4 linked regions of the Caenorhabditis elegans genome follow. The protein of the gene in region 4 interacts with the protein of the main gene of each other region in a pairwise test. Each region holds a gene or a part of one and is shown on either strand. Other genes may lie near its edges. The genes, in order: unc-33, rev-1, daf-14 and fln-1.

Evidence for each region.
Region 1: the proteins of fln-1 (region 4) and unc-33 interact in a two-hybrid assay, tested with the Caenorhabditis elegans proteins (one study listed by BioGRID).
Region 2: the proteins of fln-1 (region 4) and rev-1 interact in a two-hybrid assay, tested with the Caenorhabditis elegans proteins (2 studies listed by BioGRID).
Region 3: the proteins of fln-1 (region 4) and daf-14 interact in a two-hybrid assay, tested with the Caenorhabditis elegans proteins (one study listed by BioGRID).

The regions. Positions count from the first base shown.
Region 1 is NC_003282.8:3,514,949-3,521,525, forward strand, and holds the start of unc-33 (Protein unc-33), read left to right. Parts: upstream 1-1,937; coding exon 1,938-1,978; intron 1,979-2,029; coding exon 2,030-2,190; intron 2,191-2,244; coding exon 2,245-2,429; intron 2,430-2,491; coding exon 2,492-2,557; intron 2,558-3,126; coding exon 3,127-3,217; intron 3,218-3,326; coding exon 3,327-3,547; intron 3,548-4,507; coding exon 4,508-4,824; intron 4,825-6,577. UniProt on the Caenorhabditis elegans protein: During neurogenesis, plays an essential role in axonal guidance and outgrowth by regulating the polarization of both microtubule and actin cytoskeletons.
Region 2 is NC_003280.10:7,896,648-7,905,167, forward strand, and holds rev-1 (DNA repair protein REV1), read left to right. Parts: upstream 1-3,974; 5' UTR 3,975-3,999; coding exon 4,000-4,116; intron 4,117-4,237; coding exon 4,238-4,648; intron 4,649-4,692; coding exon 4,693-4,842; intron 4,843-5,172; coding exon 5,173-5,296; intron 5,297-5,348; coding exon 5,349-5,520; intron 5,521-5,565; coding exon 5,566-6,004; intron 6,005-6,048; coding exon 6,049-6,550; intron 6,551-6,597; coding exon 6,598-6,788; intron 6,789-6,834; coding exon 6,835-7,231; intron 7,232-7,280; coding exon 7,281-7,532; intron 7,533-7,585; coding exon 7,586-7,914; 3' UTR 7,915-8,020; downstream 8,021-8,520. Other genes in the region: ptc-1 (Protein patched homolog 1), read left to right, coding at 1-105, 152-1,547, 1,596-2,639, 2,687-2,798, 2,849-3,061; best-23 (Bestrophin homolog), read right to left, coding at 8,118-8,221, 8,271-8,379, 8,486-8,520.
Region 3 is NC_003282.8:10,247,964-10,257,351, forward strand, and holds daf-14 (Smad-related protein daf-14), read left to right. Parts: upstream 1-2,663; 5' UTR 2,664-2,682; coding exon 2,683-2,765; intron 2,766-5,653; coding exon 5,654-5,712; intron 5,713-6,125; coding exon 6,126-6,267; intron 6,268-6,314; coding exon 6,315-6,465; intron 6,466-6,531; coding exon 6,532-7,044; intron 7,045-7,584; coding exon 7,585-7,632; 3' UTR 7,633-7,889; downstream 7,890-9,388. Other genes in the region: F01G10.10 (BPI2 domain-containing protein), read left to right, coding at 203-428, 473-705, 755-856, 909-1,007, 1,400-1,551, 1,598-1,712; F01G10.9 (aECM cysteine-cradle domain-containing protein), read right to left, coding at 8,080-8,154, 8,335-8,855, 9,314-9,388. UniProt on the Caenorhabditis elegans protein: Probably an atypical receptor-regulated SMAD (R-SMAD) that is an intracellular signal transducer and transcriptional modulator activated by TGF-beta-like daf-7 signaling.
Region 4 is NC_003282.8:372,217-379,251, forward strand, and holds the start of fln-1 (Calponin-homology (CH) domain-containing protein), read right to left. Parts: upstream 3,797-7,035; coding exon 3,761-3,796; intron 3,712-3,760; coding exon 3,598-3,711; intron 3,550-3,597; coding exon 3,378-3,549; intron 2,529-3,377; coding exon 2,355-2,528; intron 2,315-2,354; coding exon 1,746-2,314; intron 1,705-1,745; coding exon 1,428-1,704; intron 1,388-1,427; exon of another isoform or gene 1,305-1,387; intron 1,128-1,304; coding exon 592-1,127; intron 1-591.

The sequences.
Region 1 (6,577 bases), 3.1 Mb from region 4:
TTTTCGATTTTTCGTGATACATTAGCGAAAAAAAAACAGAATTTCGACGAAGCCTAGCAAGAAATCTTTGTAAATTAGAAGGAAAAACAGGATTTTGTGCTGATTTTTAGTGAAAATCAGCCAAAAATAGCAAAGAATGGCGGAAGTACTACTGAAAATCAGAAATTTCTCGATTTTTTTTAATCCGCGAAATCCCGAATTTCGACAAAATCTAGTAAAAAATCCCCTAGAAAAAGCAATGAAAATCTCAGTTTTTTGCTGATTTTCTCAAAAAAAATCAACAAAGAACGGAGTATGAGTAATGGAGCATCGGTGGAAAAATCGAAGCCTCTAGAATTTTCTAGATTTTCGTGAAAAATCAGCTAAAAACTCAAATTTCGGGACAAATTCACCAAAAATAGCAGAAAATGGCGGAAGCACTACTACTGTACATAAGGATTTTCTAAATTTTTCATGAAAAATCCGCGAAATCCGGAATTTCGATGAATATTAGTGCAAAATCTCCGAGAAAAAAGCAATGAGAATCTCAATTTTTTGCTGATTTTTCTCAAAAAATCAGCAGAAAAAACGGAGACTGTCATCTTATGATTATTTCCTTTCTTGATGAATCATTGTTTGAAATACCGACACACCACCCGGTGTGTGTTGCGAAATAAACAAATTATTGTGTTCTTTTTCAATATAAACACAGCAATACCAGTTGACCGCGGGCGGTTTTAAACTAAAAAAATCCAATCGGAAAAAGATGCGGGAAATTCGAAAAATTCAGAGCTCCAAGCGATCCCCGATGGATGCTTGTAAATCGATAAATCGGGCGGAAACCTCTCCGGCGGACACATTGTAAGCGAGAGACGAGAGAGCGTCAGAGAAACCAATAGTGACCCCCCTCTGCGTCTCTGACATGGTATTCGTGGAGAGAGAATGAGTCAGAGAGAGAGCCGGAGACGGAGAGAAACACAGAGAACACTCCCCGGAGGCTTTCCGCCGCCGCTTTCGGGGCCATCTCACATCGATTTCGTGCCTTTTTGTGGGGATGGGACAACTTTTCTTTGTTTCTTGATGAGCTTTTTTGGATTGTTTAATTTTCTTCAGAGAGTTGCAAGAAATTTCATCTCTAAAAAATCAGATTTTTTCCTTTTTTCGGAAATTTCAGAATTTTATTTTTAGGTTTTTTATTTAAAGAAAAGTTAGGATTTTTCTTCAAAAATTTCTGAATTTTTTCTTTTTTTTGTCAATTTTCTCTAGAAAGCAGCCAGAAAATTGATCTCAATTTTGGAAATTCACTGGAAAAAATTCGTGAAAATTTTAGAAATTTCTACAGCTTTCTTATTTTTTAAATACAAACAATTTTCTCTGTTTTTTGATGTGAAATTTAGTTTTTTTTCAATTTTGGAGCATTTTTTGGGTTTTTGAAGATTTTTTTCTTTCGATTTGCAAAAAAATCGATTTTCTAAGAAAAAAAACATTAGAAAAACTAAAACATTATTTTTTGAAAATACAATATTTTTGTTGTATTTTTAGATTTTTTCCTGCAGGAATAAGATTTTTAGTCTCGTGAGAGAATTCACACTAAAAATTGCTAAATTTACATAAAATATGTGTAAAAAGCCATTTTTTCCGTAGAAAAATTTCAAAATTTATGAATTTTTCTTTAAAATTTGATTAAACCCCTGAAAAACCACTGGAAATTTTGTTTTTTCCCCTCGAAAGTTCCCCCAAAGTCACATTTTGCAAATTTCTAAAGAAGATTTACCACCGCAATTACCATAGTTAATCCGAAAATTGAAATTTTCCCGTCTTTTTTCCTCCAATCTTCATTTTTACCTCTTTTTAACCTAAAAATAATTGAAAAAACCCAATTTTTCGTTACAGAAAGCGCGCAAAATACACATTTATCACTAGAGGAGGGCCAAATAGTTGGCGGACATCACTGGAAAATGTTCCCGTTTTTAGCACCAATTCGATCAGCAAATCATGTGTAAGTTTTGCGTTTTCCGTGGTTTTTTTTTCCAATTAAATCCAATTTTAGAGAGCAACAAGGCACAAAGTACTACGTAGAAATCACATTTCTAGCAGATTCTCCATATTCTAGAGCTCCATCGAGCACTGGCACCGAGAAATCTGTAATTCCAACGCTCAGGAATCTGGATGACCTGGAGACTGTTTCTAATAAAAGTAGGAGTAGTGAAGGTTAGATTAGTCACGTTTTCCCGTAATTTTAAGCGAAGTTTTTGCCCAATTTAGGAGTGAATAAGCTAGGGAGCCGTCCGAACAGCCGAAGCTCGGCAATTGTTAAAAAGACGAGTGTGTCCTCACTGCCAACGTCGGCCCGATCCGAAGGAAAATCCTCTCCGATTCCGGTTAAAGATGCGATTCCGGCTCCAGCGCGGCACAAGAACAAGGGTCTCGAGATGTCGTCGGCAATGATGGTGGGTTTCCCGTTTAAAAAATCAAAATTCTAGCAAACTTGGTGAAAAATCGAATTTTCTAGGAGCTATTTGGTGGCGGAGGCAGCACGTCACCAGCGCCATCAAAACGAGAAAACCCAGCCGACGCGGTGAGTTTAAAAATTTTTCTAACTTCTAATGTCGCAGGATACGAAAAGTCGCAATGTTCAGGGCAAAACCACGTTGATTTACGAAAAATTTGATAAAAACTTGTGTTTACAGTAAAAAATTCTAGAATAAATCGAAAACATCCCGGAAAGAAAGAAGAAAAAATGAAAAAATAAAATAAAATAGAAAAATAAATTCAAACGTGTCCTACAGTAATCTTTGAAGGCGCATCACAATTTATATAGTCCAGGTTTCGCCACGAAAATTGTTTTTCTTTAGTTTTTAGGATTTTTGCCATTATTTCTAATGTTTTCTTGACTTTATATGTTAAAATAATTTTTATATTCCAATTTTCATTAATTTTTTATGTCAAATATACCAAAAACCAGGCAAAACTCTCTTAAACCTTCATTATCAACTACCGTAACTTTAAAGGTACACATCACTTTGCGAAACGTGGGTCTCGACGAGTTTTGTTTTTTTTTAGTTATTTTTTTGAAATTTAAAAGCCCAATTTTTGTAATTTCTAACCGATTTTCCTGCAATTTTCTTCAATTTTTTTGATTTTCAGCCATCCGATCGTGTTGTAAGCAATGCTAAACTCTCTCAGCCTGGCCCAGAATGGTTTGAAGGGTTCGAACAGATGGATATGACGGATATTGGTGAGAAAATCAGATTTTTCGAGAGAATTTGTGGTTTATAAGCCACAAATCTGTGTTTAAAACCATTAAAAATGTAGAAAATAAGTATTTATTGCAGAATTTTTTACAGAACTACCCCCCGACCCGAACTGCCCGGCGGAAAAGGTGTTGCGCGGAGAAAAATCGACGCCAGACTTCGATTCGGATTGGCAAGAAGCGAAAGAAGACGTTTTAGATCCTCAAAGCTACCCGAAAAGCTTCAACCCCGCCGAATCGCTTCCCGGTCCAGATATTGGCGCCGGCGTTGACGATGAGGAAGAGCCTGAGGCTGAAGCTCAAGAAATGGAAGAGGTTCGTGATTTATTCACGAGTTTTCCCATTTTTCTGTGTCCTTTCCATCAATTTTTGATATAGTTTAGCAAGTTTTTCGCGGCGTTTTGTTTGTTTGTGACGGAGGGAGAGAGAATTGTTTGAACAGATGTCACCTGGAGAACAATTAAAAAATTAATGTTCACTGTAATTGTTTGAAAAATCGCGAAATTTTGAGCAGAAAAAAATAGAAAAATGGTGAGAAATTCAGAAATTTCAGTGACAATTATAGGTTAAATGAATTTTCAGATTTTTTAAAAGAAAACCCCGATTTCAGGCAATTTGTTCCTAAAATAGAAATTAAAATCTAGTTTTTTTCCACATTATTGAGCAATTTTTGCTCCAACTGCCAATTATATTGCACTTTTGTTAATTTTCCAAGCGATTTTTAGTTAATTTTTTTCTCTAAAAAGCTCTAAATTTCCTAAAGCTGTCAATTTTTTTGCAAAAAGTGTAATTTTCCACTTTTCGTGGCAATTTTCAATAATTTGGCTCTAAAATAACGTTTTTAACACAAGAAAAGTCAAATTTTTCACAATTTTGAAAATTAGCTCTAGAAGTACAGTATTTTGCAGCAAAAAGCTCTTTTAATACAAATTATAAATTTCAGGCGATTTTAGCCTGAAAAATCTCCAAAAAAGCTCAAAATTTACTATAGAACTGGTAATTTTTATTGCAAAAAGCTTATTTTTACAACTTTAAGAGTGATTTTTTTCAACCAATTTCCCCAATTTTTTCAGCCAATTTTCTCTCTAAAAGCCCTAAAAATAGCAATTTTCAGGCAATTTTAGCTTGAAAATGGCAAAATTTAAACATAAAAGTGTTAATTTTCTATGTTTTTACCCAATTTTTACTCTAAAAAGCTTTAAATTCCTATAAAATTGTCAATTTTATTGCAAAAAGCTTCTCTTTTCTTCATCCTTTATCTCTTACTTTCTCCAGCCTCAATACGAATCGAAAGTGGACGAAAAAGACGACGACGACAATGGCTCTTCTTCCTCCAAAAAGGGTCATCCTTCCGAAGACGGAGATAGTACAAGAAATGGAGAGACGCCGACAGACCGACGAAATAGTGGGGCGATTGAAGAGACGGCAGACGGTGAGAGCTCTGCGCAGTCGGCTGCTGAGAAGAAGAATAGTGGAGACGACGGCAACGGAGGCGGCGGTGAAATGTCGATTTTGCTCGTCAAAAATGCTCAAATTGTCAATGACGATGCGATTTTTGTAGCTGATATTCTGATTGAAGATGGAATTATTCAGTAAGTCGGATTTTTGAGTTGAAAATTGAATTTTTCGGTCAAAAATTGACCTCTTTAATCGGAATTTTGAGCAATTTTAGTCCAGATATTGTGAATTTTCGTAAGATTTTTGTGATTTTCAGCTAAAATTTGTGAATTTTTATGAAGTTTTTTTGCATTTTTAGCCCAGAAACTGAATTTACCGCGAATTTTAAAATTTTCATTTACAAATTGTGAATTTTCATGAGATTTTTGTGATTTTAAGAAACAAAAAAGCGAATTTCAAGAATTTTGAGCTCAAAATTGAATTTTTCGGTAAAAAAAAGAGGTTTTAAGCGAATTTTCAGCGATTTGCAGCACAGAAATTGAGAATTTGTCTGAATTTGTAAATTTTTGAGTTAAAAATATAGTTTTTCCCTGGAAAATTGGTTTTTAATTTAATGTTGAGAATTTTTTAGTCTAGAAATTGTGAATTTTTCGTGAATTTTCAAGAAATTGATTGAAATTTCTGTCCCAAATACGTTTTTTTTTCTCGGAATTTAAAATTTTTATAGATTTTTACTTTTTTAAGCTAAAAAAAAACTTTTTCTTGTGAAAATTATATTAAAACCAGCCCAATATTTGGAGCTTTCAGGCCAAAAAAAAAAAAGAATTAAAATATTTTTTCTACAAAAATCCCATTTTTAACATTTTTTTCTATTTTGAGTTCAAAAATTTATTTGTTTCCCCCAATTTTCCAAAAAAATTGTCAATTTCTTAGTTTTCAGCCTCATTTTCGCTCAAATTTCGCAATTTTCCGATTCTCGAACCAATTTCGCAATTCTCCTACGCCTATTAAGCAAACGAATGCCAAGTTTTTTCCACGGAATTTCGCAATTCTCGTAGCCATTTTAATTGAATTCCTTCGCAAAAAATGGGGAAAAAGGGACTTTTCGTTGGAAAAAATCGGGAAAAAATGAGTGAAAGTGCCCGAGTTTGGGGGAAAATCCGGAAAAAAGTTGAAATTTTGTCGAAAATCTCTAAAATTCACAATTTTACCGCCGAAAATTAGTGTTTTCGCTGAAAATTTTGGGAAATTTGCCGAAAAAAGTGCTCATTTTCGAGAAAATCCATTTTTTGTTAAGGTGGCCTAGTTGTCTTGCGGCCACGGCCACTGATCCTCTTGTAAAGACGCCGAGCACCCGATTATTCGGGACTTTTAGCCTAAAGTTGGGTTATATGGCCTAGAAACGGGATTTTTCTAGACCACGGATCCAGAAGAGGCCTTTACGGCAAAAGGTCAACCCTATGACGTCATGTTGCACACATTTTCTCGATTTCTGCTCGATTTCACATCAAATTTGAGTGGACCCATGCGAAACGCGATACTTGTTTCCTCTTACGAGTTGTACGCCTCTGCGTCTCCTCTACTCGTCCGTTCTCTGATTCCTCGTCCGCCGGAGAGCCAAGTCTTAGCCTTTTTGAAGTGCACACACACACACACACACACGCCAACTGAAGGGCTCTCGGAGCCGATGTGTGTTCGTCTCCACACTTTCACTGCCCCTGGAGCACCACGTCAAATTAGAGAGCACTTCCGGGTGTCAATTTAATGGTGGAGGGAGGGGTCTTCTCAGTTGCTTCCGGAGCATTGGCCCTGGAAATGAGCAAATCTGGGTGTCAAATTAACGACAAAACCCTACTTTTTAACCTATAGCTGAGGTATATGTTGCTCCTGGAGCTCATAGAGCAGTTATCATGCAAAATTTGGTTTTTTCAAGTGTGAAAAATGAGC
Region 2 (8,520 bases), on a different chromosome or scaffold from region 4:
CAGTATCAACTGCTCCGATTCCAACTACGACTACTTTGTCGCCGGAGGAAGCCAGAGCCGCAGAAGAAAAAGAGAAGAAGCAAAAAGCCAGAGAGTTGAAAGACTGTAAGTAAATTCGTTTTTTCTAGTCAAATATAAAATCACGTTTCAGATTGTAAATCATACCGGAAGTCTGCTTTCGAATGGTTAAAAAAGAACAAAGACAAATGGCCAGAAGTGATGTCTGAAAACATGTACCCACAGAATGTTGATTACGCAGCAGAGATGACTGGTGGATGCTCTGGTTTCGCATCTAACGTTCTCAATTGGCCTGAAGATATGATACTTGGAAATCCAAGACGTGCCAAGAAGGGAGGAAAACTATCAGGAGCTGATGCTCTTCAATCCGTTTTTCTTGTTGCAAGCCCCGCCGATGTTTTCCTGAGATTCAAGCAGAAGCCTGGAAGAAACTCTATGAAGACTGGATTAGACATGGATGCATGGAACGAAACCGCTGCTGAACAAGTTCTTCAAGCATGGCAGAGAAATTTCACCAAGTCACTTTACAATCATAAGGCTAACGTTGATGAGGATGGAAACGAAAGAAGAACATTGCATCCACTTGCATCGACATCCATTGCTGATATGCTCGAGGAATTCTGTCAATTCAACTATACCATCATCCTTGCTGGATATGCTCTCATGCTGGCATATGCTATTGTCACTCAAGCTCGATTTGACAACTGCCTTCCAGCTACAGAATCATCAATGGGCCTCGCTCTTGCAGGAGTTCTCGTCGTCACATTCGCTTCAGTGGCAGGTCTTGGTCTCGCCACTTGGTTTGGAATAGAATTCAACGCTGCTACAACACAAATTGTACCATTCCTCACTCTTGGAATCGGTGTTGATAATATGTTCATGTTATTGCACAACTATCGTGACGTTGTTAAACTTGCTGGCGGACACGCTGAGATGGCTATCCTGATGCGTGAAACTGGAATGTCAATTCTGTGCACTTCGATCAACAACATTCTTTCCTTCCTCACTGGAACTCTTCTACCAATTCCAGCTCTGCGATCATTCTGTGCTCAGTCCAGTATTCTTCTCACATTCAATTTCATAGCTATCCTTACAATCTATCCAGCGATCATTTCCATTGATCTTCGACGAAAGAAGGCTCAGCGTCGTGATTTGGTTTGCTGCTTGTATGGTGACACTAGAGAAGAATCGTACTCGATGATTTCTAAGCCAAAGATTCAAAGTAAACGAATTATTGGAGCACCTTCGGAAGCTTCGATTATGCAACAGTTCGACGGAATCACTCAAGCGCAGATGGCATCTAGCGATGATCCAGCTCCATGGTCTCTTCATTCATTCATCCGTTACTACTACATTCCATTCATTTCTAAACCAGCATCTAAAGTAGCAATCATCGTTGGCTGCTGTGCTTTGCTCGGTGCATCATTTATTGGAATGCGTCAGTCGACACTCGGTCTTGAATTGGGAGATGTTCTTCCAGAACATACTGCACCTGCACAGTTCTTGAGAGCCAGAGACAAGTACTTCAGGTAAGAAGTTCGTTTATGATTCAAAAAAATATTTTTTTCTTTTTTCAGTTTCTACCCAATGTTCGCTGTCATCAAGGGTCCTAACATTGATTATGCTCACCAGCAACGCCAGATTGACAATTACCGACAGTCGATTGGATCTTCAAAATATGTGATTAAAAATAAAAACGAAGAGCCATCAGAAAAGTATTGGCTGGGATTAATGCGAGACTGGCTCATTAGTATTCAACGCGGATTCGATGAAGAAGTTGCTAAAGGATCATTCAATCTTACATCTGGAACAGTTATTGGCAGCAATGTTTCCGAGGATGCTCGTCTTGCTCATGCTCTTATGTGCTCTCATGGTTCTCTATTTGGGTGTGCTGGAAGAGTAGGAAAGATTCGACTAGTTGATGCAAGTGGAATTATCAACTCTGATGGATTCTACAACTATTTAACAGCATGGTTCAATGTCGATCACATGATGTACTATGTATCTCAAGCTTCTTTCTTCCCAACACCACCAAAATGGGAATTGAGCAAGAATCATACCGAAAACTTCATCCCAGCTGCTGAGCCACTTGCATATTCGCAGATTCCATTCTACTTAACTGGCCTCACGGATACCGCTGTGATTGTCGATGCCATAAAGGACATCAGAAGTGTTTGTGAACGATTTACCGATCAAGGACTTCCAAATTTCCCACAAGGAATCGCATTCACATTCTGGGAACAATATCTTTTCTTGACTGGAAATCTTATGCAAGCCATTTCGATCATTACCATCTCTGTCTTCTGCGTCATTTCCGTTCTTCTTTTCAATCCATGGGCTGCACTTATGGTTGTTTGTATTCTCGGAATCATGACTTGCGAACTTGCCGGATTCATGGGACTCGTTGGAATCAAGCTCAATCCGGTTTCAGCCGTAACTTTGATCACCGCAGTTGGAATTGGAGTCGAATTCACTGTTCATGTGGTTGTATCATTCCTGACGGCGCTCGGAACAAGATCTCAACGGACGTCATCTGCAGTTGATCGAGTTTTTGTCCCAGTCATTCATGGATCATTCTCCACACTTCTCGGTATTTTGATGCTTGGATTCTCAGAGTTTGAGTGAGTTTTACAGAAGTATGGATGTCATCAGAATGTTTTATTTTCAGATTTGTTGTCAAGTATTTCTTTATTGTCATGACGGCTCTGATTTGCATTGGAATCATAAACGGACTCATTCTTCTTCCAGTTTTATTATCTTGGTTTGGCCCAAGGAGAGAGGTAAAATCTAAATTTTGTTATTTTTCTTGTATACATCTTATTTTTTTTAGATCTCTCCTACTGGTGGAAAGACAACATTGACCCTGCCACCTCCTTTGCCAAAGAATGCCAACTCGTCTCGATCTGGCGGCGATGATTCTGATGAAGATGACGAGCCGAGTGGTCTTGTGATGTACTCAAGACAAGCACCCCCAACGACGAGGACATCAGGAGGAAATCGAGGAACAGTTGGAAATAACACACGCCGATTGCCAGCTGTATAGCAGTAGTAGTTCGCTCCAAGTTTTTGGAGCTTAAAAACTTACAAAAATGTAAAAATGGGTAAATTTCTTTCTGATGAATGCAGAGCATTGTGAACTTATCCTTTTTCCCAATGTTTCGTTGTCATATTTTCTTTTAAATTATTTTTGTCTTTTCTCTCTTTCTAACGGTCGACTACACACTTTCTGGTGATCTTCCCATGCCCTGTATAACACTTTTATAGTTATTATGTTGATTTTTTCACTGAGATTTCCAAGATATAGGCAATTAACATGATCACTATAAAATTGACACTTTCACACACTTCACCATTTCTAGCACCCAATTAACAAATTCAAAACTGAAAGAATAGATTTTGCGCGGTTTCCAAACGACAAATGCTTTAATCTGTTATAGTATTATTTTTCTTTATTTTCTTGCATCCATATCGATGAATATTTTGGCACCCTCGTTTTCTTTTTTCTTTGGGTATTTATTGCCACTTCTCAATCGAAAAAAACATGCGCATAATATTTACTCCGAGTGATAAAAGGGGAACGGTACAATTTAGAGAAAAAAGTACAATTGACATATCTGTATTGTTCACCTTTTTGTATTGCTTTCAATTGCACCCACTTGGTCTTTTTCGCCGTTTGTTTTGTTCCCCTCTGTGAATGATCTCAGCGAGCTTTGGGAATTTAATTATTTTATTAGCACCAGCCAAGATTTTTCTCTGCCCCTCTCGATTTCTATTGTCCCTTCGCCTCATCTCCAATTTTTTTGTTTCGAATTTTTTCGGATGAATAAACTTTTTCTAACATGAAACATACATTTTATCGATTCTTATTTTCAGAAAATTTTAGTATGAACTGTGAGAAATTATACTTGTCGACAGAATTACGGTTAAAGACGCAATTAATCAGAAAACAAATATTGATTCCAGAAATCAATACAATGAATGATGCATTCTCCTGACCCATTCACCGATCATCCAGATTCAGATGATTCTTTTGAAAAGTTTGTTCCGACTCCTAATGTGAATCGACGACGAAGTGATGCTATAATTGTTTCAGATGAGGTATTAGCTGCAAATATATCGAAAAGTTCGATGGAATGTCGAATAATTTCAATGAAATCGTTAAATTTAGTTTTCAAAAATATTAAATAGCTATTTTCAAAATACTTCTGCTTTCTTTAAGGGTTCATTCGACGGAATAACAGGATATTCCCAAGTAACAGTGATCGAAAATTGTCCGAATACTACTGTACTAGAAGATGAAAATAAACGCGCAAATCCTGATGATACAATAACTCGAATGCTAGAATCCAGTGACGAAGAGGATGAAACTGAAAATAATTCTGATAATGATGCACTTGCTGATCTTTTAAAATCGTTCAGAACGGAAGATCAGAAAAGAAAAGAAGTAGACATTGAACAGGCAGCAAATATCAGTATAGACATATTTGGTGATTTAATTGAAGAAGTTGACTCAGAACATGAAGCTGCTGAATATCCGGATAGAGAAGGTGGAAATAGCATGGATAAGCAAGGAACAATGCTACCGGTTGAAGTTCCTATTCAAAATAATATCAAACTTATACCAAGAAAGGTATGTAGAAATATTAAAACAATCGTTAATATTCTAGATTACAGCGTCGTCTAGAACCAAAATCATATGATTGTGAACCTTCAACATCCGCTGCACATGGCCCAGTTGGTGTTGTTTCATCAGATAGTGGCGAGTACTGGAATCAACAGAAAACCATCACCATACATGGACAAAATTTCGAAATAAATAATTTTGTGAGTTTTTTGCCCAAAACACCAAATCATTTACTATAAATAAAGTTTTTCGTTTTCACGTAAAATTAAAAGTTTCATTCCAAATGTGGACTTTTTTCGAGCATCGCTGTATATTCGAAATCCTAGAATATTTAAATAAAAACTATCGAAACCCAAATTAAATTATAAACTCGTAAAGACAATTTTCTGTCCGACTTCCAGTATGGCCTCTCAGTTTTCAAAACACGCTTGACTGTAAAGAAACAACTTTTTTGAAAAGTTTTACTATGACATTTGGACAGTTTAGCACTTAACTGATAATAACCCACAGGAAATAATCATTTTTTTCAGAATGACTATATGCGGATGAAGATCACTAAACTTAACCATCAGGTGAATCATGGATATGCGAAACCACTAGAGAATGTGTCTAGAATAATGGAAGGATTCTCGGTATTTGTGAATGGTTATACAGGTAATTTCATATTCCATAACTTAACGACTGATTTTACAGTTACTTATTTCAGATCCACCAGCACTTGTTATCAGAGATTTGATGATTTCTCACGGAGGTGAATATCACTGTTATTATCAACATGGAATTACTTCATACACGATAGCTTCCTCAATTGCTACAGCAAAAATAAATCGAATTCGAGAAAATGAAATTTTCATTAAAGCTGATTGGATTACGGAATCGTAAATATAATCAACCCGATTCTTCCGATTAAACCAGTATTTCAGAATAGCTGCTGGAAAACCACTCGATTATCGAGATTTTTTGATATACGAGAAAGGTTCGGTGGAAAAGGGACAAATGCAACAGTTTCTAACAATATCAACTAGAAACACCGGTGGTAACAATGAAACAACTTCATCGAATCAGTTCTCTGATGCCCGGAATCCAAACTTTATTCGAGATTACTATGCCAGAAGTCGTCTTCATTTGATTTCTACTCTCGCGCAGGATATGAAAGATTTTGTGGCAAATTTGAAACTGGAAGGAAAGCTAACGGAAAAGTGTTTTGAAGAGAAAGAACTCATCGATATGAAGTCTCTTAGCAATGAAATTTCTCGGGAAAGTACAGTATTCCACGTGGATCTAGACTGTTTCTTCGTCTCAGTTGCTGTCAGAAATCGAATTGATTTGAAACACAAAGAAGTTGCCATCACTCATAGCAAGGTAAATCAATTTAAAAGCTTCGTGTCAAACTATAAATCTTTCAGGGAACTATTTCGAATAGCATGAGCGAGGTGGCTTCTTGCAGTTATGCAGCTCGTGATTGTGGAGTCAAAAATGGTATGCTCGTGAGAGATGCTCTACAAAAGTGTCCACAATTAACTCTATTACCATATCAATTTGAGGATTATGTGCAAGTTAGTCGGAAAATTTATGAAATTCTGGCTAGCTACACATTGGAGGTTCGTGCAGTCTCCTGCGATGAAATGTATATAAACATGAGCAGTTTTTGTGAAAAATACGAAATCAACGACCCAACAATTCTCGCTGAACACATCCGTAAAGTGATACGAGAGAAGACTCAATGCCCAGCCAGTGTTGGAATAGGATCTACGAGCTTGTTAGCAAGACTTGCAACAAGACATGCTAAACCAGATGGAGTTTTTTGGGTTAATGCACATAAGAAAAATGAATTCATTTCCGAGGAAAAAGTTAAAGATCTACCAGGATTTGGATACGAAATGATGAATAGATTAACTTCATTCTTTGGTAATTCCAGTATCTAATATAAAAATATCAACTTCTCAGTTTTACAGGTGATATTACAAAATGCCGTGAACTACAATTAAAAACTGAACGGGAACTTGTACCTGTATTCGGACCAAAGTTGGCTTCAAAAATATTACGACAATGTCGTGGTATTGAAGAAGATCCAGATGATTTTTGGGCTACTCATGTTCGAAAATCAGTATCATGTGATATCAATTATGGTATTCGTTTCACGAAGGTAATGTATTATATTAAAATGTCCGTATAACGATGGAATATTTCAGAGAGGTGAAGTTATTCAACTCATGACAGCTATTGGAGCTGAGTTAGAACGGAAACTTATCGATAGTAAATTAACCGCAGGATCCATAACTTTGAAGCTTATGGTACGTTCAGCAAATGCTCCTATACAAACATCCAAATTCATGGGACATGGAATTTGTGATACATTTACCAAAACGTGTAATCTAAACGTTCCAACTACACGCGGAGAGTCTCTCACATCAGAAGCTATGAAATTATATGCTAAAGTTTCTCCGAAAGTAGAAGATCTTCGTGGAGTTGGAGTTACCTGTGGAAAGTTGAAAAGTAAATTGAAAAAAGATGCGGCAACGGCAGTGCAAGAGATGTTTGGGAAGACCTCTAGAGTTGGGAATATGGCGAGAACTGACGAACAATTGAGTTAGTATTTAAGTAGTGAAATTTTATTGAAAACATTCTGTATTTTCAGATATTATTCCGCGAAACGAAGATGAACTAGATAAAGAACCTGTGATAATTCCAGCTGTGACTGAAGATCTGGAAGTGCAAAGCATACCTCGTCAAATTAATTTTAGAGTGGCAAATGACATAGATATTCCTGAAATTGTAAAATCCACACTTCTCAATGGACGATCTGACAACAACCTCGAATTGGAAGATTTGGAAGATGATGGATTAGTTGAAAATCGTCTGGCCGAATTGGAATGTATTATTCAAAATGGTGAGATACCCAAAATCTGATGTTTCATGGAATAACTTTATCAATTTTTTCAGAGCCAACCAAGGAGAGTGTTACGAACTTACAGGAAATGCTTTCAACGTTGCTAAACTATGGAAAACTTTCCGCATTCGAGACTGTATTCAGAAAGTTTGAAGAGATTTCGATGGATTCTAGTAGATGCGACACTGCTTGGTTTTCAGTATTCCATTTGATGGTACCATTCATCGAAGAAGAATCAAAAGATCTGCTTGAATTTCCCATAGCTACCACTCGAAATTTGGGAGCTATGATTGCCAGCAACACTGATAACACATCAATTAGTTCACCAGAGCCATTTGTTCCAAAAGAAGTATTTGTAATTGATTCCACTAAACATACCTGAATTTAAATCTTGTAAAATATTGTTTTTCTTTTTCTGTAAAATAATTAAATTAAAATGAATAAATAACATATTTAAGACCATTGAATAAACTTTTATAATTCAAAAAGAGAAGGAATGAATGAGTGAAGACGTGAATATTAAACCAGTAAGAAGACGTCGAGATCAATACAGGAAAGAGCTTGTAATCAGTTTGAAATCCATTCTCAAAACTTTGGAATATTTCTAGGACCATTTGCCAAATTTTCCAGATCAGCGAATGAAAGTTTTGAAGTTGTTGAAACGGAAACGTCTCGTTCGTTTAGATGATCTGAAATTTAAAAAATAGTAACTTTCATATTTTTTTATGAAATTCCCACTTCCCGGAACTGCTTGCACTTGCATTGCGTCTACATTGAATTTTAATTTCCGAAGATGCTGTCGTTGTGGATGATTTGATAGTTTTGACGATGCACTTGTATGAAGTAACTGTAATAAAGTTATGCTATAGATTGAAAACTACAAATTTAAAACTCCATGGTTTTGGTAGATCATATTTTTAGATTGTTCCAAAATTTTAGATTTTCAGACTTACACGAATTTCATCATCCAAACTTTCAACATAAACAG
Region 3 (9,388 bases), 9.9 Mb from region 4:
TTTGAAATATATACTCAAAATGTGCCATGAAACCTATAGTTATAACTAAAAAGTACTTTAAATTTTTTTTAGATCAGTCAACATTTTGAAAAATTGTCTAATTATCGGATAATTTAGTATGTTTGAGTTACAGTAGAAAATTTAGAGTCGAATGCTCAACTTTCAAACTGTTTTCTTTTGATTTTAACGACCTTTATTTCAGCATCATCGGGCTGGAAAGTTATCAAATCTGAATGCCAAGAATATCACCTTGACCCATTTCGTACAACGGCTTCGTGATAAGGAGTTAGTGTTGGATTATCAAATGTTGACAGCTCCATTTGTACAAAATGGTGCTGTAAATATGATGTCAAAGGGAGAAATCTCATATCGAGGTCAAGGTGGAACTCCCTTCTTTCCACCAAATGTTAGAATTCCACCTCCACATGGTATGAATTATTTCAACTGCCGTTCTAAAAGTAATTTATTTCAGGAGTTCATATGATTGAATTCTATGCAAGTGATTATCTGGCTAATTCAATGTTGTATCATTCATATCGTCAAAAGTTCCTTGACGTCACAGTTGGACCCGAAAGTTCTCCACAGCTTCAAGGACTTTTGCTTACAAGTTGTGGTCCTGCTGGTTTCTGTCTTGGAGAGTTCCTTGGTACACTTGGAGAACAATTCCCGGATAGACAAGTTGAAATTGAATTTTTCGCAAAGAAAGTAGGTTACCTAATATACGATCCTAATTATTTGACACACTTATTTTCAGGCTCCACTAATTGTGTTCATTGATGATAGGTCTCGGTTTAGACTCCATGGAGGTCTTAATATGTACGTAAGACCTTCGAAGCCAAATCAAGTTAAACAGCAGGTACTGATTTATTTGATTCTATGAAACAGAAATTCCTTTTATTTTCGTAAAGATCCTAAAAGCTGACACGACAATGACTGCAAACGTAAACTTGTGGATCAATGGATCAATTATTGTTGGAAACTCAACGATTGAAAATTTGGATTTTAAGGTGAGATGTTTCATCCAATCATCTATGAATCATTCTTACTGAAGCTATGTAATTTCAAGTCGTACGACGTACGCCAAATATTATATGTTTTTATGTGTTTTTACAAATGGTAATTTAATCGAAACGTAAATTATTAATAGGCCTTTAAAATCACCAGAAAGCTCAAAATTGTAAAATAAAGAGGTTACGTAAAATGTAAATAGGCCCAATCTATCCCAATCTTCCACACTAGTTTAAAACATTTTGGGTTAAAGATGGAAAAATTTGAACTTGGGTAAGACTTGAATGCGATTATATGATATTTCACCAAGAAAATTGTCACCAATTTATTTTTTTGGAAGCCGGCCTGGATGTTTCAGTTTTGAGGTGCTAATCAAATTGTCATATTTCAGCTCCTTGAAACAAAAATCAACGATGTCGACCAAGATTCATTTTCCGACTTGGGATTATTTGGTGCTGAATTTTTAGAGAAGCTTCTCACTGAAATTCTTCAAATGGGAATTGCTCTGCCAACCATGCAAGGTGTAATTCTGAAGAGTCCAAAGTGAGTTTGAAACGAGCTCTATAATATGAATTTATTATAATTTCAGATTAACTTTCCACGATCGTTATCTGAAAGTTTCAACATATTTCAAACTTGACGAGGAATACGCAGGAAGTCTTGTCAGAGGAGCTGTTGGAAAAACGTTACGTGGACCATTGTGATGAATGACAAAGTTACCAAAAAACAGAAATATCGATATTTAGTTACCGGTTTATATGTACATTTCGAGAAAAGAATACTGATGAATATATAATAAATAAGTTATTATCTGCGAAACTGTTTGAAGAAATAAGGACAGTTTTCATCTCCGTAATTTGCAAAACTGCAAATAAAATTAAATATTTGCAAGGGACCAAAAATTGTTTTTTCTGTCGAATGTATAATATGAGAGTTTCGATTGAACGTGTCAAGTCTTTCATAGAGATTCTATTCAACAATTCAAACAATACTTTCAATCGAACAGGTATCATTTCATTCGTGATCATTCATTTCAATATCTTCTTGATCGTCAAATAAACTTATCTTTTCAACGTTTAACTTTCGTTCACATTACCAATGTACTTTTCTCATTTTTCTTTTTCTGTGGTTTTTAATCATTTCTCTACTGGCCAAGCTCCACCATTAATCTCAATCTGACAGAATATTATTTTGCTGAATTACAGGGAATCTTCAAAACTGGATCCAAATTATTTGCAATCGAGGGTTGTCCAACTATCGAATAATTTGTTATGATCAAAATTCTAGTCGTTTTTAAAGGTACAATTGGGTCTATTACTGGCTTAACAACCTGATGTGCATCGTTTAGTAATGTCAATTCGTATTTATTTGTCTCATATTGAACCCTTCCTAGTCACGCCACTTCACATAAAACCATCACCATGGAGTCATTGCGTTTCTATGTTTTTCTGCTCATTTTCTACTCTTTCTATATACTTTTGGATGTGACTTGATCATCTAAAGTCTCGCTTTTCACACAATTGTTTTTGACTTTTTCATTCAAAGTGCAAAAATTGTGTAGTAGATGTTTGATTTGTTACCTGTTATTCAAACAATCCATAAATCGGCACCCTTCCGTTTATATTTTGGAGATTTGTTGTTTCGAACACACATTTTTTTGCAGAAACATTTATAATGTCCAACGAACAAGAAGATTTTGGATCACTTTTTAACAACCAAGGAGAGTTAGGAATCATGGACGATTTTGCCGAGTTTGGGTAAGTAAGTTTTTAAACGGGTGATGCTGATAACATTTATAATCGTACTTTTTACGATGTGTCAAGATGTCTTAACCGTGCAATAACAGTTGTCTCTGCGTCTCAATTCCCGCATTTATTGTAGATCATATGGGACATGGAACAGCCTGACACCACGTGATTTTTCCGATAATAGTCACATTCAATTATGTTTACTTCTGTTTTTTAATGAAAAATAATTTGTAATTTTTCCGTGTCAAATAGTTTCCTAACTCCCGGCTGTTAACAAACTATTATAAAAGTCGCTCAAAACTTTTTTCAATGCAATTTTAGTTATGTAAACTTATAACAAAAGTAAATTAAAGGTGACTGACTATTTTTAGTCCAATATATATACCAATGTTGACAGGGTTTTACAAACTGGAAGCTATTTTTGATGATTCAAGCTTTTTATTTCAAAAATCTGTCTGACTTTTCTGGACTGCTCTACTCTATTGAAACTTTAAACTCAATTTTACAAAAAACAAGTAATTGAACTGTTTTCTCGGCTTGAAAAAAAACCTAGAATGTTCCAATTATTAGGCAACACCACTAAGTTATATCAGTAACTTCAACAAAACGTTTCAAACCAAATAAGTTTTATATTTGTCCAGCACACTATCACTTCCCCCGTAGACAGTGAGATGGAAATATATTGTTAACCTGACTGACTCGTTCCGACTTTTATAAGACAAGATGCATATTTCTCTCTCCGCCCTGTCTACGCATTTCTGTGTCTTGATCTTTTGAACCAAAAAGTTTACAACGGATGTCCTGGGGCGGAAACAATAAATACCTCTCTTTCTCGTAGTTTGCAACGTACCCGCTCTTCTTGAGTTCACCGGAATCAAAACACAATTATTGTATTTGCCCCTGTCTTTTCCTCATTTACATTTTGAAGTTTCCCCAAAAGTTCAGTATCGTGGTTTGTTACTCAATTTGCAATTCCTAGCAATTTTTAAAAAATTATGAAAGAAGTCCCCAAATATTCCAAGAAATTCAGGAAAATTTGATGAAAAATAGGGAAAAAACCACAATGTTCTCTTTTTAAATTTTTCAAAAAAAATTTTTTGTAAATAATTCGAAGTTTAGACTCCAACAGGCACAATCAAACAAACATCTAAAGCCGAAAATTATGATAATTTGTTTATCTCTACGAGCCTTTTATGAATCTGATCTCTTAACCCAATAAACGAATAATATCTTCTTGATCTATCTGACCTTTTCGTGTTACTGTTCTCGTCTCTTTTCCTGCAATCGGCAAATATTTGAGCACAGCGCAACAGATGGACCACACTTTGTAGACAGAGCCACGTTGCAGTGTTCTAGAGTCACACTATTTTAGGGGTTTTCGGTATGGATTTTTTTATCGATTTTTTTAAATTTATTAATTTTTATTCAATGAAATTTCCAATGTTGAAAAACATTAATTTGTTGGAAAGATGAAAAAATTAAAATTTCAGAGGGTAACTAAAAATATTTCGAATTTTATTTCGTAACTACCCCTCCTCGAACTATTCTTCTTCCGAACGGTAATAACGAACCTTTTGTCATCTTTCCCTAACCTTCTTTTGTTCATTTCTCTTATTCATTCAAAGTAGTCGTCATTGAAAATACAATTCAGATGACGTTCTCAACCTCGTCTTTTTTTCCATTTCCTTCTATTTATCGATCACGTGCTATCGTTCCCTATTACGCGCTCACTCCAACTTTTTTCTTCCTGTTAGGAGCAGAAGCTCACGTGTTGCCGATGCTCTGAGTATATTCGTTCTCTATTTCTCTCCGTTCTCTCTCTCTCTCTCTCTCTCTCTTCTCTCTCTTTTTCTCTCTTTTTTCCCATTTCTTTCCTCCTTTCACTTACATTTGTTGTGACAGAAAACACACACATACATACCCTAACGCTCACTCTCGCTCCTCTCCTCTCTCGTTTTTCCTATCTAGTTCTCAAAATATTTCTCACGTCTCTTCTAGTTCCAATACTATTTTTTTAACCGTCGACTTTTATAAACTGATGTCAGAAACGAGCGCAATTCCAAAAAGAAAGAGTATGACTGACGTCAACAAAGGTGAAAGTTCTTGATCTGTTTCCAATACTCATATACATATATTTATTTCAATTTTCTTCAAAAACTCTATATTTGGTTCTATTCTGCCAGATCTAGTTTTTAAAAAGGAACCATAGTTCGTTCCCGAATATGAAAAAAAGTTAAGTAGCAACATTTAATTTACCGCATCATACATTATCTAACATTAGATATATAGTTGAATACACTTTTTTCAAGAACGAGACAGCACCTGTCTGGCAACTTCACGTACACTCTTATGAGAGATAACAATCTAAGGTCGTGAGACTTGCCCTATAACAAGTCTAGTCGACTTTTTAATTTCTTCTAATACACCTGTTATGACGACACGTTGCTAGACTCTGACAATAAGGAAACTAGACCTGAAGAAAAAGTGAACATATTTTTTAAATGATTTTGTGTTTTTCACTTAGAAAATCGAATGATTTCAGTACATTTATTTTTATATTTATTTATCAAATGAATATCCCAAAACTATCTTCCTTCTATAGCATGCTGATAGAGAGCAAAAAAATTTAACTGAACCGATTTCAAAACCTCTAATACGACGTCATTATTTCTTATCTATAGGTATTCTGGCATTATTATGCACTCAATTGACTTTTTCTCTATTTTCACGTCAGCTAATTTCACCAACAACCCTCATATTCGTAATCCTTAGATAATCCCTTCCTTATAGGATCTCATTATCTCATAATTATTTCATTTTGTATTAATATCAAAGCCAACCGACTTCCTTGTTGTTTTGTGTTTTTCTTAACTCGTTTTAAATATTCGACTTTTCAGTTTTCAAACTACAACAACACCCACAAATTGGGCGGCTGCGGGGAATTATATGTACCCAGGTGAGTCAAATTGTAGACATGACAAAGTTATTGGAAAACTAGACAGAAGTGGCTATAACTGCAAAAAATATATTTATAAAACAGACGTTTTCAGTTCCTGATCTCAGAATGCCTCAAATCACATAAAATATAAATATGCTTCAATTTTTTGTTAGAAAACAATTATAAACATGAAAAATATCTTTAAAAATATTTCGTATGATTTCGATGTTTTTCAGACGATTTATTTCCGGTTTGTCATATGATTTAATATGAATCAGAAAGTTCTAAAACGAAAATTATCCAGCTTAAGTCCCTCATCATCCATATGAGTCACCGTGATCACAATCACTTGGGAAACAAGTTTCTGACTAATTTAACATTTGGAATTGAGCTTTTATTTTATTGTTCAAACTGATATACAAAAATTACAGATCAAGTTCACTTACCGGCAAGCATCAATAATCCAAACATGCCAATAAACGACTGGTTGGAAGATGCTCCAATGCCTGATTGCTATAATGTTCCGTCAACATCAACTGATGAAAATAATGATCCGTTTCCATTTTCAAATATGTACGTTTATTTGAAAGTTATACACATTCACATACCTCTTTTTTTAGCTCAAGCCAATCTTCTTTGAAACCAAAAACTCCTGAAAAGGCAGTAGTTGAAGTACGTCCTACTGGAAACGAGATGTTGGATCCTGAACCCAAATATCCAAAAGAAGAAAAACCGTGGTGTACCATATTTTACTACGAGCTGACTGTTCGAGTAAGTTCAAAATTATTTGAGAAAGAATTTCAAAAAACGGATAGCATAACAATGATATATTTTCAGCTAGGAAAAGCATTCGAAGCCAAAGTCCCAACAATTACAATCGATGGTGCAACTGGAGCAAGTGATGAGTGCCGAATGTCGCTTACATCTCAACCATCTTCGAGAAATTCAAAAAGCTCACAAATCCGAAACACAGTTGGAGCAGGAATTCAATTGGCATATGAAAATGGAGAACTTTGGCTAACTGTACTGACTGACCAAATTGTTTTTGTACAATGCCCATTCCTGAACCAGACATTGAATAAGCCACTGAAATATGTGTTTCGGTTGCAAAACAAAGGAGATCAAAAAAGAATGAAAATATTCGATAAGGAGCAGTTTGAACAGGAGAAAACATTGGCTCTCGGACCTTTAACTGAAAAAGAGGTGGCTGATGAACGAATGAGAATCTTCTCCAACATCAGAGTCTCTTTCTGTAAAGGATTCGGAGAAACGTATTCCCGTTTGAAAGTTGTGAATTTACCGTGTTGGATTGAAATTATCTTGCATGAGCCAGCTGATGAGTATGATACAGTGAGTTTTTAAACTTTAATGTAATTTTTCCTAAATTAAAAATATAATATTAAAACACAATTTCCGATAGTGCGGTCCAACTGCAGCTGAAATACCCAAGATCTCTGAAAATGTTGTACACCACTGAGCCGACTACTGAATTTTACTGGCTAGCAATTTTTGTATAGGCTTAAAGTATCTCCATTGAAGATTAAAGAATCGATTTTTTAGCCACCTGGATTCTTTCGGTGAATCAAGGCTATATTTGTTTCCGAAATAAATAGATAAATTAAAAAACTTCATGAAAGACAAATAATTAATAATTATATTCACATTTGTCTTATCCGGTTCTATTTATAAAATAATTAAACAAAATATGACTATTTCAATCATTAAAACAAAAACACAAAAAATTCAACATATGATCTAGTAATGGAATTAACTGTTAAGTGTATGGCATAGTTGAGACCATTTTGAATTTGAATTTGAATTTAAATTTAAACACTTGAAATAACACACAAAATTGTTTCAAGTAATTAAAGTTCCATTAATAATCTTCAGGTTTTCCGTATTAATAACGAACGGCCGGAAATAGGATCCCGATCATGATTGCTTCAATATTTTCACTTCAATGATTGGTTCTAAGCATTCGAATGCGTACCCGTTTGATTAATATTTCCATTTCTGTCCCAGTTTTTAATTTTCATTTCTTTTGGTTAAAAAATTCCCAGTCTCTTGAATGCTTTTCTAAAATCTTTAATTCAATTATTTATTAGAATCTTCTGTTTTGAGAACTTTGTAATGTAATTAAATAATTTGATGAAATGATTATGAATGCGAATAAATTATTAAAATAATATTAATAATACATTTTTGGTGGAAAGGAGAGGAACCTGAAACAATAAATTAGAAATCTGACGACAAAAGTGTCAATTGTGGAAATAAATAAAATGAGATGATCCCGTATGGGTTGGAAATGTCTTTAAATGTAGGATGAGCACAAAACTAAAAGAGCAAAGAAAACAGAGAACATTTTGAGAAAAATTAAGTCATAGTTTAGAAGAATTTCTTGCTTTTACAAGAATCAATAAAATGGAATATGAGTTCACAGCTGGCGTTTGGAGCATACATCTGCAAATAAGGAAAATTAACATGATTGTGAAAAAGTGATTTGATTAAATGTGTCTCTGTTGTAACACCAACAACAGGAATTCACAAAAGAGCACCAAAAATACGTAACAGATAGGCACGTAGTCACTCCTAAATGCCTACCTGTAGTGGCAGCCTTGATTTCTATATTTTAAAATTTACCTGCAGGAAGGGACAGTTGCCTCTCGCCCATTTCGAGACATCTTTGATACTAAAACTCTTGGCCAGTTTTGTTATTTTTGCACAACTCTCTGCGGTAGCTTCCTGCATTTCTTGAGGATTCGATTGTAGAATTGGCTTCAACTTAAGAATATCATGACCCACTTGTTGTTGAACAGGTTGTATTGGTTGGGAAGGTGGTAAAGCCATTCCTGGTGGAGCCAATGGCATTGGCATCGGAGCACCCGGAGGAAGCGGGATTCTCATTGGTTGTGGGGCACCGGGCAATGGAACTGGACGATGAAGCATATTAGTTGTCGAAGAGACTGGAAGAGTCATTGGTCCAGGTACTCGGTATGGTTGATTATATGGAATTTGATGGCGAAGACGTTTCATTGATCTTAATGGAGAAAGATCTCGTGTTGTTTGATGACGATCAGAGTTTCCGATTTGTTGATCGAAACCAGCTTCATCCGAGAAGTCATCAGAAAAGAGTATCGGACGTCTGCGACGCATTCGGTATTCTGAATATTAAGATAACTTTGGAAAAGTGTAAACATACAACTTTTTTTTTGAAACTACTTTACCTAATTTCAAATTTGGAAAAAAAATCTTAGCAATCACTGGAATTTTCCTGAACTTCGGGGTATGACCAAACATGTTTCGTATGATATAAAATTTCAGTAACTACTTCATGCTTTTATTATTTTGAGAAAATGTTTGTTGGTTGAACTATATTCCTTCTTTGCAACATTTTCGCGGAGATAAATATTTTAATGATCACAGATAAAAGGATACATCGATCATCAAGGTTCGATTTCTTCATAAATCGTTGATTATTTGATCTTTAAGTAATCTTTCAGACCATATTGTAATGAAAAATAGTTTAAATTTAATTAAAAGTAATCATATTTCGATTTAAATTTATATTATTGCTTTCCGATAAGAATTTAGTATTAATTTGAATTCAAGTTAAACTAACCTCTTCTCATTGGTCTGTATAATGGAATATCGTCATAATCATCATAAGTAGACATATCATATGGCCTCTTCCGTG
Region 4 (7,035 bases):
ATTTAGAAAAATGCAATCATTTTTTGCATTTTTCGGCATTTGTCCGCATTCTTTCTACATCGGCCGCCACCTCACTTCACATGCTAAAAACGAGACGCAGAGAAAACCTTTCCTGCGGGGACATATCTCTCTGCGTCTCTTGTTTTTAGCATTTGAAGTGGGGTGGCGGCCGATGTAGAGAAATGCGGACAAATGTCGAAATATGCAAAAATGATTGCATTATTCTACATTTTTCGACACTGATGAATAGGGGGAAAATGTATTAAAATACATGTTCGCATTTTTCACCATCACATGATTAAGCCGATTATTCAAGTAATTCTGCAAAATGTTTTTAAATACAATTATGACGTCACAAATGTATTTAAATACATGTTTTATATACTTTAATACAGTTCTGACGTAATTTTTCTACACTTTTCAATTTTCCGACATTACTTGAATAACCCCATTAAATACATAAAAACATGTATTTTGATACAGTTGTGACGTCATTTTTCTACACTTTTAATTTTCCAATACTACATGAATAACGCCATAACAAAACATGTTAAATTTAAAGCGTTTCATCTTATTTTAATATTTAGTTACCTGAATATGCTTTCCGTCGGCTAGCACCCCAACTTTGTAAACTCCAGCCACAGTTGGTGTATAGGATAGAATAGCACTACCATCTGGTCTCTCTTGACATCCGATTTCCGCTTTCGATGGTCCTTCAACAGCAAATGATAGATCTTTTGATTCTCCATTCATTTCCACATCAAACACGCATGGCTCATTTACAATTCCGCCTTCAAGTCCTGCTCCGAATGCTCTGATCTTCGAAGAGCTTTCCGGTGCCACATGGATCTTATGAGATTCGATGACTTCACCAGCAACCTTAACGAGTACTTCTAGATCATCAGGTGCTTGCTTTGGCGAATATTCGAAATCCATTGACTGAGATTCGTCATTGTAGCCAACTGAAACTGGTAGATGAGAACCATCCGACGGTTTCAACACTTCCAAAGAAATGTTTGCGTTGGCGATATTTTCTTCCGGATCCAACGATTCAACGTGGACACCAACGACATCATTTTTGCGAATTCCTTCTGGAGCAATTCCACGTCCCCACACTTTGAACGAATCTGAAAAACAATTTCATTACTTTTTTGAAATACAGAAACAGAGACATCATGGATTCAAGATTTAGTGGAATTCCGGATCTGTCACCGTGCCAACGCATAAAACGCAATTTTTCTCGAAGAAAAAACAGTTTTCTTCAAAAGTTCTCTTCAAGAAAATATGCTTAACAACACGCAACATGGAGCAGTTGTCACGTTTTTCTTTGAGAAAAATTGTGTTTTGTGCCAGATCCCTAATTCCACCAGATCTTGAATTCGTGGTGCATCCAGAAACTCGATTCTTATATTTATAAATATACGCACTCTTTGGTTTTCCACGCAGTGGGAATGGCGATCCGGTCAATGGGAGCTTCTTGTGGAAAACATTGACTGAATGTAGTCCAATACACGGAATTTTGTATTCGAATGAATGTTCTCCTGGTGATGTACCATCCAAGATAACCATTCGGTGCTCTTTTCCAGTTGGATCAACAACAATTGCTTCAACAGGACCTTCAATGGCGTCGACCACGGCGAATTTGACGTCATCTCCGACTTTGGCGGTTTTGTTATAATCGAGAAGGCGGGCGATTGGAACAACCTGAAGAACAAATTCAGATTATATATAAATTTTTTCTCTACCTGACAAATGACGCTAGCCTCAGGAATGGTCTGAGTCTCAAACGTGTGAACATCGTTCGCGGCTACATCCACGTGGATAAATCCAATCTTTGTAGGAGTGAACTTGACTTTGTAGGCGTTTTCTTTATCCTCAACCTTTTTAAGACTCAAATGAATATCCTGTCCATCTTCATCTCGGATCGAGACTTTCGGCTTAAATCCATCACGAGAAAGCTTCAAATCAAACTCTCTAGGATCATTGACTTGGAGAATTTTGTCCAAATTTGAAATAGTCGCTTGAACCTTTGGCTTCATTATTATTGGTTTTGTTGCAGGGAACTGTGAAAGATATGTCATTACAGACATTTCATCAATTTCCGGATGAATCATCTCAGCTGGAGCAATGAGTGGAGCAACTTTAAGCAAATCTTGAGCAGACTTCATGGCTTTCTCAGTGTTCTCCAGAGCATCATTTGGCGACCAATTTTCCCAGTCTTCAAGTGCTCCTGGAGCCATCGAATTGACAAGTGCACCGAGAGCAACTCCGTCGTTCCAGTCGGAAGTGAAGTTGGAAATCGGCATTCCTGAAACTTTAGGGTGATGAGTAAATGTTGCAATTCGAAATGGTACCTGGAAGACGATTACGAATCCAATTGAGGAGCTTTTGCTTCGGAGTCTCCTCCTTATTATCTCCATCTTCTCTTTTTTCTTGAATCCATCCCATCGAAATTGAATAATGGAGAATCAATGTCCAAACGAGTCCCAGAATCAATTTCTTGTTATGATCCACAATATGAGTACTGTCTGTAATTTAAAATAATGCAATTAAATAGAAAATGGGTTGTGGTGACCGAATATATAACTATTAAAATGTTTGAATGATTCTGTATTGAGCCAAAACATTGAGAAGTCAGGTTTTAATCAGACTTTGTCAAAAGTTCGAGACATTTTCGGTAAAGCTCGTGTGGTAAAGAATTAAAACGCAAAAAAATACAGTAACCCTTGTGATTTTTTTTTTTTGTCGTTCTCTCTCCTGATTCTGAAATCAAAATGAGAAAATTCACAAAACATTCCCTGATTTTTCAAACGACGAATTTTCGCACCAGAGACGCCATGTGTCGATTTACGACAATTTTGTATATTTACGAGATATTTTTAATCCTTATTGGATATAAAATCAGGGAAATTTTTTTGAATTTTTTCACATAGAAATTCAGAATCTGGGAAAAATTTGGAGTCAATTGAAAATATTTCTCAGATTTTCTTTAAGAGATAGTATCGAAATGAACATTAACTTGTAAATTAAAATTGAAATATTCAGTGTTTTGAATGTTTTTTAAAGTGGCCGTTTTTCCGAAATTCTTTCTCTAAAAACGACACTAATTGACACGTCGAAATATTGGCTTAAAGTCCCGAAAATGGGTATTTTTGTTGCGAAAAACGGTGGTCAACCTATGTTGTTCGTAATAATAGAGGAAAGGGGAACTCCGTGTGCTCGGGCGAGAGCTCCCATACACTGAAAACAAACAAAAACATGTTTGAACTACGGATTCGTCCTTTTGAACTGCTTCACCGCGCGGAGCAGTCTCGAAAAAGGAAAATATATCGTTTCTACGATACTATTTTTCAGGATTTCAGTGAAGGACTGCTTACCAATATTGATAATCTTAATATTCTCTTCATTCTGGAAGAAATTCAACGCAAGAGACACATTTTCGAGCTTCTGTGAACGAAATGCCACTTTCTTGTTGAATTTTCCAACATTCTTGTGGGAGAGAACTTGAGCCAATGCAATAAGCTTGAGACCATCCGAGAAATCAGTTTCCTGAAATTATAAATATAAAATCACTGAATAAAGTAATCCAAAACTCACCAGACTCTCAATAGTTTCTCCAGCCTTTTGCAAATGATTTTTGACCCATCTGGTGAATGTATTCTGTTGGATGATCTTCCATTCGGCGTCATCGTGACGGATCGCCGGAACGACCTGAAAATATTTATGTTAGAAAGTTGTATAGTCTTCTGAAAATAAATACCTCTTCTTCCTGGTCAAGGCGTTTTGGTTGCGCCATTTTAGACGTTGATTATTGCAAGTTTTCTAGCAGTCCTATATTATTCGCTTCTGCAAAAATCAAGGTATTGATAAAGAAGCGTGAGAATGAGAGAATAATACATGATTTAAATCGTACGGCCAAAAGGTAAAATCATTAGAAATGTCGATTCTTTTCTATCGACATTTCTAATGATTTTTAACACGTAATAAACTGCGAATACATGCATTAAAAGGTGATAATTGAATAAAAATTAAGTTCCAATGAAAACTTTTTTCTTTTAAATAAAATTTAAGTAACCTCTGCGAAAATTGCCAAAATTTGAGATTTTAGCTTAAAAATGGTAATTTTTCCACAACTTTGAACCGCCATAACTTTTTTGAGAAATTTTCAAAACGTCTCATTACGAAATTCGGTAGTTTTGGGTCATTTTTGGTCTAAAAAATATTGTTTCAGATTTCGGTACTCTGCCTTTAATTGATTATGGTACATTTTCAGTAAATAAGCACATAAATTGGTTTTTTTTGTCTAAACTGCACCTAACGACTTGAAATGTAAAATAATTAATGAAAACCCCACAATAAACATCTAAAATGCGCAAAATAGTGATAATTAACAAAAACCTGATTTCCGGCCGCTGTGGCACGTAAAGTTGGCAATAGTTGGAATTTTGAGATGGTATAAAAAATTTAGTTGCTCCATATTTACGATGAGAAATCAACGAGATAACAAACTAAACATCCTGGAAAACTAAAAACTGAAGTTTTTTTGTTTCAATCTTCAAGTTTAATAAAATCGAAAGCAGAGTTTTTGTTCAAACGAAAAGCTAAGAGAATTGAAGAAAACGCGTGCATGGTGATTCATATTTCATTTTTTTTGTGTAGGAAAAAGACACATAATACAAAGAGAACAAACGAATATAGACACGGATGGACGGCTTCTGGTACAAATGGAAGAATTGTTTTAGGGGGGGGGGGGGGTACTGTAGCCAATTGAAAAGACCAAAGACATGGGAAATTAATTTGAAAATCTTTTGGATAGAAATAGAAATACGGTAACGACAAAAAACGGCAACGTTGTACTTAAAAGAAAACTTGGTGAGAAATGCCCATTCTACCAGAATATAAAGTCTCGAGCTGGGGTGCACGGAAATTCTACAAAATGAGGTGGTGAACTTGTTTCCCTTTTTTTCATTGAAATTTGATGATACATAGAAAAACATTTGCTTTATAAATTGCGGAAAAATAACGTAAATTTTCAACTTTCGGACAATTTTTGAACACTTTCTCGGTTGTTTCAAATAAAGCAAATATTTTTCTATGTATAATTAAATTTCAATGAAAAATATCGGGAGAACATGCTCGACCGTCTCATTTTGTAGAATTGCCGGTCGGCAATGGCTGCGTACTCCTGTTTTCGAGTTTCGAAATTACAAAAAAAAACACACTTTAAAATGTTGACCAAAATCTAGTCAAAACTCGAGTCAATTGAAGAAGGAATTGCGGTATCCATATAAAGTCCAAAAAGAAGAGAAAGGGCACTGCGATGATCAATTCTCAAAATTTATCACCTTATTCCCTATTTCACACCCACTAAAAATGAACGACAAACGCAGACAGTGAAAGAGAACTTTCATTACCATTTTCATGTGCATCGTTCGTTTAGAACCGAAAATTTAACGATTCTCGATAGAAATATGAAAGGGTGTGCCGTTTGGAGGAACATTTGGCAAAAAAAAAAACAAAGTTTCTTTTTTGGGCGTTCTTCAAGAATATTTTCGTATTCTGAATCATCTTATTGCCACATTCGTCTATTGTTTCAATTTGACACTTTTGTAGACCGGATAGAAAGAACAAAACAGTGAAAATGTGACTCAAACAAAAAAGTTGCCAAATCCTGGAAAATGTACAAGTTTCGGAAGTTTCCACAACACATTCATAACATCTTCAAGGTCATCTAGGCGTCTTTGAATGAGAAGGTAAGATGACAGAGGGGGAGAGAACAAGGTGAAGATTTGTTGCGGGAGGAAATGGAGAAAAGGATCAACCTAGTGACCCGCGTTACCTAAATTTTCACCAAGGGCAAATCGGTAGACGTTCGGCAAGAATGTCAGGCAAAAATGTGTGGTGTGCAAAAATTACCAGTTTGCCGGAAAAAAGTAAAATTTTGGAATTTTAATGATTTCTTTCAAAAATTTAACAGTAATCCTGTTTTTAAACGCGCTGGAGTTTGCATTTTTAAATTTTGAACAAAATTGCAAAACCAAAATCTCCTTTTTTGGAAATTGCCGAAAACATATACTTTGCCGCCCACGATGTTGAGAATGCGTTAAAATGCAATTCTTTTGGATTAGAATTTACGAGAGTAGACGACGCGGCAAGATATGCAAATGTGATTGCTTTTGGTGTTTGTGGGGGTGTTCTTCGGTACATTTGGTATCATGAACTGCATTGACTCATTTATTTTCTCACATATAGATGTTTATTTTGATGCCACATGCCACAAACACACTCACGACATTTCTTCGGAAAATACCAAAAAAATTTGGTGTTGAGAACGGGAGGAAAGCGTGGGTTATTTATATGCAACTTTTCGACCGATGACTGTTCACCTCTGATAAGAAACTCGTCAAACTCTTAGAGTGGCAGCTGAAACAGACGTCAGTGGCCGAACTTCAATCAATAATGAAAATAACTATGGAAAGAGATCGCCAGCAGGTAGATATACTCCAAAAATATTAATATGCCGTGTATAATATTCGAATTAAGGAAGAACTTTCGGAGATGAAGATTAATAATTATTGAGAGAATAATAATAATGATGACCCGGAAACTAGGCGAGGATAAAATCTCAAACATCAGAAATTCCTTGCATGGAAGGAAAACTGAAACAAGCGGAAAAATCTATCAGATTTTTCCCTCGTGCATGAGCCCATCTTCTTTACGGAGGGAGCCCGTGCTACCGACAGATGAGACGATGTCTAGGCTCTCTGTGATCCTTCACACTCTGTGTTCCAATGAAGCACCTGACATTTGTGTCTCTTGAATCGATTTGTCTTTCTGTTTTCCTGATTTCTCTTCTTCTTTTCTGCTCACAATCCCCCACCAGATTTGATGATATCTGTGGGTGCGTGTGCATCCACGCTGTTTCCACGATAAATGTACGCAACGCCTTGTGGTTATAGGTTAGGGTTATTACAATGATCACGAGCAAAGATTTCTTTGTGCCGTAAAAGACAAGAACACGAGTGAGAAGTGAAA